Tribolium castaneum: one gene and its partners. The protein of the gene in region 1 purifies or fractionates together with the protein of each later gene. This does not show direct contact. Links are inferred from orthologs where the notes say so. Each region holds a gene or a part of one and is shown on either strand. Other genes may lie near its edges.

Region 1 (3,190 bases):
AATGCACTAAACTTGGAACTCGCCAGTTTTGAGACATTCTGTATATTATGTATAATGCATTAACATCTAATCTGCTATAAAACAGTTCAAAAGACGTGCAGTGCAAAAATTACGTAATAAAAAAATATAGTTTTAAGTACTTCATAAATTCACTGATATCTCTAATTATCATTATTCGTTTTATGTTAATTGTTTGACGTAGTCATTAATCTGCGTAGTAACACCTAATGCTTGCCAATAAATTTATTTATTGAAATTAATCTGTAATTAATGGGATTCCAATGATTTTTTTAATTAGAATACTTATTTCAAAAGTACTTTTTGGACTTTCGCGCAGCATTTATTTTTTTTGACGTCCGTATTTGCTGCATTTGGAGATTACTGTAGTCAAAAAAAATGTACCGCCTTAATTTTATGGTTTTACGATATTACGAAGCAATCTTTCAAAATTTTTCCAAACGTTTAATGAAACGAAATTAATTATTGTGAAATGTCGGTATTTAATTTTCCCGCTTATCAGTTATCAATTTTGTAGGGTATGCAAAAAATACTCGTAGCTTCGATAGATTCTTTTATTAATAAACAAGTATTACAAATTAATTTTTGGGGGTATTGTACACTGGCTAGGGTTGGTATCACTGCCGATTCTCTTGGGGATTCACCTCCTGGTTCTGGTTGCCCCAATCGAACCCCCCGGGCCGCTCCTCAGGAGGCGGGGCATAGTCCGGGTCTTCAGGTATTTCGTCAAATAGCGTACGCCTGCAAGAATCTATTAAAACTAACCCGAAAAACGCCCAATCCTTACATAAAATGCGGCGTTTTAAGTATCCTAAAACCCCCTCTTTGGTTTGGAAAAACATCCTCTATAAAATAATAAATATGTCCCACGGCTATCCCCATCAAGTCGACATAGACCGCATTTCCCAACAAGAGCGAGAAGCCCAGTAAAACCCAAGGCAAGTAAGGAGCTTGGAAGTTCAAAAGGCCGAAAAAGTTCATCCTAACGTACGGATTGCGCCGCGACCACACGTAAACCAGCATTATTGTGAACGCTTGTCCCAGAAATAATAAGTTAACAAAGAACGCAAAAATCTAGTCGGCGTTAAGGCCAGCTTTTGACGTTAAAAACGGCGCGCTTTTTGAAAGGATACAATCATACACACGCCCCCGAACAGGAACATCATCACAAAGTCGGCCGTCCTGTTCCGGAACGAGCCCTCCTCAAGCATCCTACAGTACCTATAAGTGAAAATCATGTTGAAGAAGAAATTGAAACCGAACGTTCCAAAAAATAGGAATGTGGTGACTAGCCGCCATAACTGCCCCTGTTTCAGGATCAGGATGGGGTTGAAGTACAGCTGGAAGGGCGACGCCAGTTCCAATTGCTTGAATGAAACAAATTTTAACAAAAAACCCCCCAAAAAAATATAACTTACAACAGCCAGCGTTGTTATCACACATGCCGTTGTGTACGCCCGGGTCACGGGGGGCATGTGCAGGTATTCGTTTCGTAACGTCTGATAAGCCATTTTCGGGCTAACTATCACGACATGTCCATTTTAAGCCAAAAATCAGATTTTGAAAGCCACATCAGTGCTTGAAATTATCTTGTCAAAATTTGACATTGTTGACATTTCTCTCCCGGCGCTAGTAACTTCGTTTCGGCACGATTGGTACCCAAGTCGTAAATTCGGCGAAATTAATAAATTCGTTTCAAATAAACAAATCCCCGATGGTCTATTTCAGAAAAATTCCGTGTTTACACTTCCAATTGTGCCTTTGTTTAACTAAAAATGAGCCTGGTTTGTTTAAGTTGGCGGGACTGTGCGCACGCGCTACGTTTTGTTTAACCATACTGTCAAATTTTTCCAAAAAATAAAACCATTTTTTGCGATGGTTTTGACTAAAGAATACCGAATTTGTATGCCGATTACGGTCGAAGAGGTGAGTTGTGGTCATTTAGTGCTTTACTTGACTTGGTTTTATGAAAGTATCAAGTGGGGCAACTGTACATGATCGCGAGGCACAGTTTGGAGCAGTCGGGGGATGGCGAAGGGGTTGAAGTGGTTGAAAATCGGGAAATTGACGACCCGGAGCATGGCAAAGGCCAGTTTACCGAAAAAAGAATTCACTTATCAAGGTTTGATTAAGAATTAGCGAATTAGAGCGTTAGGTAATGAGTTTTTGTAGCCGTTTGCCTTACTGGGTGCAGGCCATTATACCTAAGATATTTTACGTGACGGAGAAAGCGTGGAATTATTACCCGTACACTATCACAGAATATACGGTACGGCCCAAATATACCGGGTGTTTCGGTTTTTTATGCGCACCTTTGTAACTTTTTTATTTTTGTAAAAAAGTGTACAAGTCGTTTATATTTTTGGTTGGATTGACAAAATATATTGAATAAAATCATCAAGTTGGCTGTATGGTGACATTCGTCAAAACGGTGACTGTCAATTTTTTTTCATTGGTTCCTTGTATAATTTTTTGCACCATTATTTATAATTTTAAACATGTGACAAAGAATTGGTAAATAATTAAAAAAATATAGATTATTTTAAATAAAAAAATATATATTATATACTTTTATTTACTAACTTAAACAAAATACTATTTTTTTGGCACTCCTTTTATAATAAATTCATGTCTACGGATATCTAAAGGTTAGGATATAAAACAGCCTACTAATAAAACGTTTCTGTCCTCGATAGTTCCGTTAATGACGCCATTATTGCATTGTAAAGTCAATTTATGCCTAAACCGTTAAAAATAGAAATATGGTATTTTACTTTATTTAATAAAAAAATTACAAGGGTTAAATTCCCAAACTGAAACACCCGGTATATTTTTTATATATTTTTTATTATTTATTTGTAGTGCTCATTTATTCCACGTTTTCACATTGAAATTAAAACCAAATATGAGAATAACAACGGCAGTACCGAAAACGTGAGTCAAAAAATAAATTGCAATTATTTTTTTTAAATAAAAAAATTTAGTGTCTTAATTTAACTCCTGAACAACTTGCCGAACGCCTAGTCGACCACATTGACATAGCCTACGATGAAGTGAGCCCCAAACACTACAAAGAGGAAGAGGACCCGCGTTTTTTCCAGTCGAAAAAAACGCAAAGGGGGCCCCTGGTGGAGGGCTGGCGGGCTAACTACACCCCAATCATGTGTTCGTA
Region 2 (4,233 bases), about 9.3 Mb from region 1:
GGTTACATCAACACAAATTGCATTTGAAGACACCATGGCTAAAATAGGGAATGTTTATGCTGTTTAAAATCGTTGCTAAAACTGAAGCTGCGAACTGCTACATAATACCTAATATAAAAATTGAACTAAAATACAATGACTTCACTTTCGCTTGGCTTCACCTAAAATGTTGAACATTTTTTGATAACATGACTAAAGATACACAAAAATGTAATGAGACACAATTAACATCACATATTTAAAGACGCACCCACCTTTTCGTCACTACAAATTAGAGCACCTTAAACTGTCTTTAAACTATTGAAAATAAAGGTATAACGTCTAATAAAAGTCAGAACTAATTTGAGTTTAACTCTAATAAGGGTCGGATTATAGAAATCGAATAAAAACTTAATCCAAGATTAATCTAATTCACATAAAGTTTACTTTGCAGTGAGCGTCAATTTAAGGACAAATTTGATCACAATTAAAGGTTCTGTAAACTAACCATAATATACAAGGTGAGTCCCCTAAAAGTATGTAAATAATGCATGTGAATGTTGGCAGACTTTTTCTACAATTCCTTACAGTTGTTTCTCGTGTATTTTTCATTATCTCAAGCCATTGTCATTATACAGGGTGATTCAAAAGTACCGGAAAATCTCTCGGGTGCTGATAAAGAACATCAAACTGAATTAAAAGTTCCTATGACAAAAAATTGTTTAAGCCTTTTTTCACAAGATATAGCTCTTCAAAGTAAAATTTTTAAGTTATGTTTTTGGTGGTTCAGATCATATTTTTTGACTTTAGTTAGATCAACAATTAATGTCTTATGGGAAACAAAAACAACAAATTGATACCGTTGCTAAGGAAAACAAATTAAACAATACATCAAAATTAAGTTGCTTGGAAAAAATCTGACTATCCACCACCCTGTATTAATGTATCCTTTACTTAACTGTTTATTTAATGTGGTAAAACATTCAAAGCCAAAATTTCGTAAGGCATTTATTAAACTTGTTATTGTATGATGCTTTACACCTGACCCTCAAAAAAAAGATCCTTAGTTTCATTTTACGTTATAATAAATCGTTTTAATTTTTATGAAAAATATTTAATTCCTAACAGAAGTATTCAGAACCAAAATACCTAACTACATTAATTAATTTAAATATTAATTAAATGAAATTTTATTATTGTAAAAAATACACAAAAAATACGTAAAAAAATGGCGCTATAAAATTACTAGTTTCTTAGTTTTTAATTCTGACTGGAACGGCGCCATCGAGTGATAATAACCATCACTATACCTTGTCAAATAAAAAATCTACTTTTTAATTTGATAACGTTAAATGCAAATTTTGCGTGTTTACCATTTTACACGACACAATTATTTTGCCAAATGAAGCGTCAACTGAGTAAATTACCACACAAATGCAAAAAACTACTAACACACTCACCTTGTATAAATTTTAACATAATACCAATTTAAATTCTTGAAAAGATGCAATATAAATTACAGAAAAATAGTATAAGTATAGTATAAATTACACAAAAAAAGTTTTATAAGTCTATAAGCACGAAATGTTTTAGAGCACGACGAAAGACTGCTCCAATAGAATAAGTGCCACAATTAAGTCTTAACGAGTGTAATATACTATTTTTTCTGCTTTCTATTTTTGTGTTTGTGTTTAGTTTAACTTATCAAAAATCTGTCCAAACTATTTCCTCTTAATTTTGTCAATTATTCAGGCTTTATCAATAAACGACTTGATGCTGTTGACAAATCACACACTAAATTACAGTGATGACTGATGACATCCAGCTCAGCACTGCCAATACAACTCCTAAAAACTTACTAAAAGGAGTTGCACAAAAGTTCTCTTTGTGAAACTATGAATATTTTGTGAACCAAAGTAGAAAAAATATATTTTAAACAATTAGATTTCTGATCGAAGAGTAGGAGACTTAAAATTAAGTTGGCAACACTATAATAGAGGATCAATGTACTTGATTCACTTTTTTCAAGAAAAACGCCTCCAAAAAAAAATTGTATTTAGTTTAACAAATGGTAACAGTGACTTTGATTGTATGTATGTACATTTATTTAAATACTTGCATCTGTTATGCAATGTTGCCAACTTGATTTCAAAAAACAAGTCCAGTGTAACTATAAATTTAATTGGCGTAAGTTACCTGCAAAACAAGTCAGCATCGTTGTGGTCTTCTTTATGCAAATAAACTAAAAGGAACCGTAACTCTCGTTTAGCATCATTAAGGGCATGCGTGAAAGTTCCCTGGTAAAAAACTGGATGGCAATCTCCATACTTCTCCTGGTAAAGATTAATAAACCCAACAACATCATCTAGCGGATTAGTCGCTAAAACAACCCCCAATTACGCCAAAAAACACCTCAATAAACCCTCCCTTACGCCTTTCGGGCTCGAACCGAATCATCCTCCTCCCCAATTGAAACAGGGCCAAAATGGTACTATAGCAAATATTGTAGAAAAAATTAAACATAGCTTTGGCAAAACCCAGAATGCCGCCACCGCCCCCATCCCGAGGCATCGAATAGTAAATGTGTTGCCCCAAAAGGTCGCTCACAACCGCCGGCGGTCTGCTCTCCGTGGCGTAAATCGAAGGTCTGCCCTCTCTGATATTGAGCTGCTCCTGGACGGCCACCTCCAGGTTCCACTGGTGCCTCTGCAGCACGTCGCGGCATATCGTCATGTCGTCGATGCCGGTGAGGTCTTGCAGCTGTAATACTTTCTCGGTTTGCTCGCTCGTGAGCCCCAAACCAGCGTTGTCTCCGAGGTAATTCATTGTGAAAACACAGCGCGGCCGGGATAATCACATGTGCACATAAAAACGTGGAATTTTTAGATACGGTGCGGTGTCACACTGCATAAATTACAAATGCGTGAATTGATACACTTATTGAGCATTACACTTATTTTCGAAACGTCACTTTGTCTTGAAAGTTTCCACAGAAAATTGGGGGAGTCTCGGCGCTACCGGTGAGCGTTGGCAGCACTGCGCGAGTGTTTTTCGAATTTATTAAATTTTGAATCTTCCCAATTGTCCCAAATCCCCTTTTACCAACGTAAAACACCCCATATTTCAGGTAATTCGACTAGTTAATTATATTGACGGTTTTAATGACATGAGTATTGCTGGTTGCCTAATAACTGTTTCAAAAGTATAAAAACACCAACGTCGCATTTTTTCTCAAAAAATATTAGTTGTTTCAAATCTATAAAAACGCCAACGTCGCATTTTACCAAATTCTTTTTTTAAATAAGCTTGACAAAATTTCAAAACAGTTATGTATTAATGATTAGATCTCTCATTGAAAGTGTTAATACATTTCCTATTATTATGTGCATGAATAATTTATAGCAGCTAATTTTGAAAGAATTTTGAGACAGCTAATAGCTGTTGTAAATTATTCACGCACTTCAAAAAAATAATGTAGTTTATAGTTTCAATAAGAGATCTAATCATTAATAAGATAATAAGTATTTTATAATTTTATCAATCTTATTTAAAAAAATTATTTGGTAAGATGCGACGTTGGCGTTTTTATAGTTTTTAAACAGCTAATACATTATGGGATTCAAATTAAACTATATGCAAATTAATATTATTTAACACTAAAAATTAAATATTAGTTTTGCTCCAATTGTTCTATAATTTTAGTTTTGAATTTTTAATTCCTAATTTTCTCTGCGTGCACGCCTATCAACGCGGCTCAATGTTAGCCAATTGCAACCTGATATGGTGATTTCGATGAATTCAAATTTCATTGATCAAGTAAAGAATAGTTAAATATAGTTAATTTTTTTTTTATATAATCAACTGTCAGTGTCACAATTTTGTTAAAGACCAGACTATATCACCCTGTGCATATGTAGAAAAACATTATTTAAAGTATTCTTTTACATGAATCATCAGACCAAATAAACAATAATTATTATAATTATAAGAATACTATAAGCACCTACTGGAGAAAATCCATTTTGAGAATTACCAGTCTACTTTGTAGAATGTCAAATTTTGTACATACAGGCTGTCTATTTTTCAAACTCCACCAGGGTATCTCAATTATTATAAGAGATACGTGGTCGGTTGCGCATTTTTATGCTGAACAATTATCGGAAGGAAAATTTTATGCGTCATTTTTAGTTTCTGAATTATTCAGAAAAACCACAAACTTGTAAATTTTGTTTTTAATTTTTCAAATGAAAACTA
Region 3 (4,252 bases), on another chromosome or scaffold:
ACAGAGTGCGTTATTTTTCCAGTCCTCGATAAAAAATATCACAAAACAACAAACTTATCGAAACTTAAGTGCAACTTCGTTTTATTATGTAGAATTAAAATATGAATAAATTAAACAATTCTCTTGGTAATTACTCGCACACAACAATGACGTGTCTTTAGAAACGATCGATATAAGAATAACATCGAGCAAATTTTTTCCTCGATAAAAAATGCACTAAAACATGACTTAAATATTTCAACCTTGGAACCTTTCATTTCCTCCAATTTTTACCAGTTATATAATTACAAATCAAGTTTTAATACAACTCATAAAATCAATCCACAAATAATAAGCCACGTCAGTTTTTTTCACAAAGTGCGCATTGAAGACCTCGTAATTTCTGTTATTTTATTATACCTGGTTAACAATAGATATCAGCATATAATTTGTGAGTCATTGATAAGAGAATCTAACCGCCTACGGTACTTTGTTCCATGATTCAGACTTGGACAGAGCACATAGTGCCACTAAATTTTTTAAACGTCTGAGTGGTCAATTAATTCGAAAACAACATTCTCGCTTCGCATGCTTTGAAGGACAAGAGGTCCGGTTTAATCTCAACTTAAAAATAATTTTAAAAACCGAACGGAAAGTTGCCAAAAATAAAACGGCACCCAAATGTTTAAAAAATTCAAGGATTCGAGTTGCTACCCGAAACAATAACTGATAAGAGCTCGATGAAAGCGACGATTAACAAGAAATTTGCTAAAAGATTACAGACTGGTTTTAATTAGATTTAAATCGCGAGTTGGTTTTATCATTCAGTGGACCGAAAGTTGATGTAACTCTACACTTTGTAATGGTTTACATTTGTACTACAACTGTTGATAAATTTGTTTACTATTTATTCCAAACAATCTTAAAGTCGGACTAACAAAATTTTCTCTTGTAAACACAGTTTCACAATTTTGTTTTTATTACCTTTAGGACCTTTTTTAAGAACTTTCGGGGAATTATAACCCTCCACTTGTCTATTTCCATGTTTCACAATTTTCTCAAACGCACCACAGCAATGAACAATCAGTAATGAAACTCTTTATAAAATTTTGTCATTGTCTCTCGAAAAATCGTAGGAAGACTCCTACCATTGAAAATAAATTTCCTTCGATTAAAACAGATTTGTCAGAATTTGAAGTGAGAATAATAGATATTATTCTTATTTATGGTGCTATCACATTCATCTGATGCAACGTTTATGACCTGGAAGCGACTTCGGCACGTGTATGGCTTCATCTGACACTAATAACGGGAAAACAATATTCAAAAAATCGTATTGGGAACAATTTCCAATTAGTAACTATTTGGCCTTGTGCATACATTAATTAATTACACTTCACTCCTTTATCTATACTTCCTAACTAAAGAAATAAACCCAACCTACCCCAAATCACCTTGAAAGTTGACAAAATCGATTTTATTACAACGAAACGAGTTTCGGAAAAGTTGAAGCCTTGCTTTCAAAAAGAATAAAACGGCACATTGCATGTCAAAACCTCAATTTAGTAATTGCAAATGATTGTTATTAGAAAAACTTTCAAGCGATTGTGGAATTGTGTGAAATACCGACTGAGCAATAAAATGGGCAAAAAATATACCGGGCGTCAATGAAATATTCTAAGGCAAATAGAAATCAAGAAGGCTGACTTTCTCGATTGTTTCGTGGCATACTAAACCCATTTTCAGGCACCTTTATGCTCCACCCTCCCCTACGAGAATCACTTTTTGCAGACAATAAAAAATAATTAAATCAAACATTTGTTTTTGACGTCTGTAGACAATTACGAGTCTTTTGTTTTGAAACAGGTCAATGAACAAAACATTTAAATTACTTGCGTAGGAAGAGAAGCAGCCGTTTCCGATATTTTTATTAAAGTCTGACTGAATAATGTGAATTGTTGGCATTGCATTGCGGAATTTAAGCTGCGACATGACCTTTTCCAGCCGAGGCACATTTGTGAAAAATTCAATCGAAAATCTGGATCTCTCACGAATGATTGAACAAATCTTAGAAAATCACGAATAAAATATGAGCAAGCCCGGACTCGATGATGAGATCGGAGACTTGGAATACTTTATTCAAAATAATGATTTATGACGCTTCGGTAATTCGAATCATTAACAATTTAAGAAGCCGTTGGATAACGGGACTTGTTCAGTAACGCTTTGGTGCGTAAAGAATTAATTAAAAATGAGGAATTGATCCGATTTTGACTAAAATTTAATAAAGTGACCACACGACTATTCCAGAGCCGGATTACCGGAAGAAAAAAGTGCATTTGTTGTGTCGTTAGCCGGTCAGTTCTTTTCGTTTCGCGGAACGCAATTTGCGGTAATGTTATCCCAAGATTGCGCCACATTTCCGGTAATCCGGAAGAATCCGGGAGCATCAGCCGGCACTCACCCACACGCAGATGGGCTCCCTTATCATAACACTGAACACGTCGGAGACAAACTGCCCCATGGACCGGCCAAGCGGCACCGAGGCGTTACTTCTGTTGGAGTCTTTGATGTCTTCGGCGACGGCCCCCCAGTCGGGGTCCTTGATCACCTGCGTGGCGTAGTAGACGCACGCCGAAAGGGCCAAGACACTGCCGGCGGAGTACATCCGCAGATTGGGCACAGGCAACCGGTCGAGTAAAATCACTGGCATATTGTCACTGTTTACAAACACGATATGTCACAAATTACAACGCGACTCTTGTGCGGCTTGTCAAAGCGGAATTGGGGCGCGACGATGACATAGTGTGGAGTCGCGGCCGCGAACGATTTGTCACTGGAGATGTGGTGCGCTTGGGGCCACGTTACTTTTGATTACACACTGGTACGTGATGGTTAATTTTATACATGTATTGATCATGTGGTGCGCCAGCTGGTCGGGCCGCCACTGATGCACCTGTCAAATATCCGGATAAAACAGGGCCCTGTAAGGGGAAGGGCGAATTTTAAACGAATTTATATATTTCAGAGCATAAGCCTCGTCCCTTTCTTATGTCTTATCCACTTTTATCATTAAAATACTCCAAACACCTGTTTATCCTTAAATGATGGTGTTTGAACAACTTTTTAATCAAATGTCGGCTACTCACAATTCATGCTTCTTGTATAATTGGTTGCCCCTACATACCATTACCATTGGTTCGAAATGTGCACTTCAAGAGCACTTTATTGCAGGCAAAAAATTTCAGTGTTTATTGTTATTTATGATATAGATGATAGTGGACAATAATGGAAAACAATTTCTTTAAAAGTTAACTTTATTTTGGTCATTATTTTTTTAGTAGTTTTTCTTAAAAATGGAACGGCAATAAAGCTAATTAAAAAAATGTTTTATATTATTATTCTCTACAATTATCTATACACTACACCATGAATAAACAAATAAACAATAAACACTAACATTTTTTGCCTGCATTTGAAGAAAACGTAATTCTAAGATTAATTCAAACCAATGTAACTTTGTGCGGAATCCCTCAATTTTAATTTTTTTCTATATTTGGATTAGTAAAGTGCTTCTTTACAACACTCTGAACTCGAAATTCGCCGACACCCTGTAGAGTACCAAAGTAGCAAAACAATAGAGATTTGAATTATAAATAATTTAATTGAGCGAAAATATTTTGGGATTTCACTTACTAATGAGTAACATAATTATTTTGGAAAATTTTGATTAGGAAAAAACGATGGGAAATAGGGACTTTTAAAAACTTGGCCGAAGTGGTTGTATCCTATGGATTCAAAGTTGAAAAATCTTCGTAATGAGTTCGAACCGCAATTTTAATAATTTATTAAAATGGTTTAAAATTAATTTTATTAAAGTAGAAGTTATGTATAGAGCAGAATCTCTTACCAAAAAAAAAATCGCCGTAGGAAGGTGCCATTTGAATATTTTTTTGAGTAACTCAATAATCAAAATGACTTCGAAAACATTCAAGTACTTGATAGTGTACACTAATTTGTTTTTTCGTAAGGTACATAGTTTAAAAAATAATATCTTGGAATTCAAATACTAAATATTATTATTTTATTCGTTTGTGAAGTAAAAATAAATTCAAAATAATATAATGAGATTCAAATTAAGAATGAACCTGAGCTGTTTCAAAATATCTGGAGGTAATTTAAACCCAGATTCACCTTTATAGCTAACTTGAAATAAAGAGGGATAGAAAAGATGAGATTGGATTTGTAATGTTTAACATTTTTATTTAACCTT

The links. The genes of interacting proteins can lie anywhere in the genome.
Region 2: the proteins of Der-2 (region 1) and Faf2 purify together in Homo sapiens (affinity purification with mass spectrometry; 5 studies listed by BioGRID and IntAct, counting the BioPlex papers as one, with this or other methods). This does not show direct contact. The link is inferred for Tribolium castaneum from reciprocal best matches to the Homo sapiens genes DERL2 and FAF2.
Region 3: the proteins of Der-2 (region 1) and E3 ubiquitin-protein ligase AMFR purify together in Homo sapiens (affinity purification with western blotting; 4 studies listed by BioGRID and IntAct, with this or other methods). This does not show direct contact. The link is inferred for Tribolium castaneum from reciprocal best matches to the Homo sapiens genes DERL2 and AMFR.

Annotation. Positions count from the first base shown.
Region 1 is NC_087399.1:2,163,984-2,167,173, forward strand, and holds Der-2 (derlin-2), read right to left. Parts: upstream 1,672-3,190; 5' UTR 1,530-1,671; coding exon 1,437-1,529; intron 1,386-1,436; coding exon 1,152-1,385; intron 1,093-1,151; coding exon 806-1,092; intron 760-805; coding exon 636-759; 3' UTR 559-635; downstream 1-558. Other genes in the region: rdgBbeta (cytoplasmic phosphatidylinositol transfer protein 1), read left to right, coding at 1,894-1,944, 1,992-2,140, 2,191-2,287, 2,881-2,952, 3,003-3,190.
Region 2 is NC_087399.1:11,512,449-11,516,681, reverse strand, and holds the start of Faf2 (FAS-associated factor 2), read right to left. Parts: upstream 2,957-4,233; 5' UTR 2,806-2,956; coding exon 2,412-2,805; intron 2,360-2,411; coding exon 2,176-2,359; intron 1-2,175. UniProt on the Homo sapiens protein: Plays an important role in endoplasmic reticulum-associated degradation (ERAD) that mediates ubiquitin-dependent degradation of misfolded endoplasmic reticulum proteins.
Region 3 is NC_087396.1:17,610,766-17,615,017, reverse strand, and holds the start of E3 ubiquitin-protein ligase AMFR, read right to left. Parts: upstream 2,957-4,252; 5' UTR 2,693-2,956; coding exon 2,444-2,692; intron 1,059-2,443; exon of another isoform or gene 1,024-1,058; coding exon of another isoform or gene 964-1,023; intron 1-963. UniProt on the Homo sapiens protein: E3 ubiquitin-protein ligase that mediates the polyubiquitination of lysine and cysteine residues on target proteins, such as CD3D, CYP3A4, CFTR, INSIG1, SOAT2/ACAT2 and APOB for proteasomal degradation.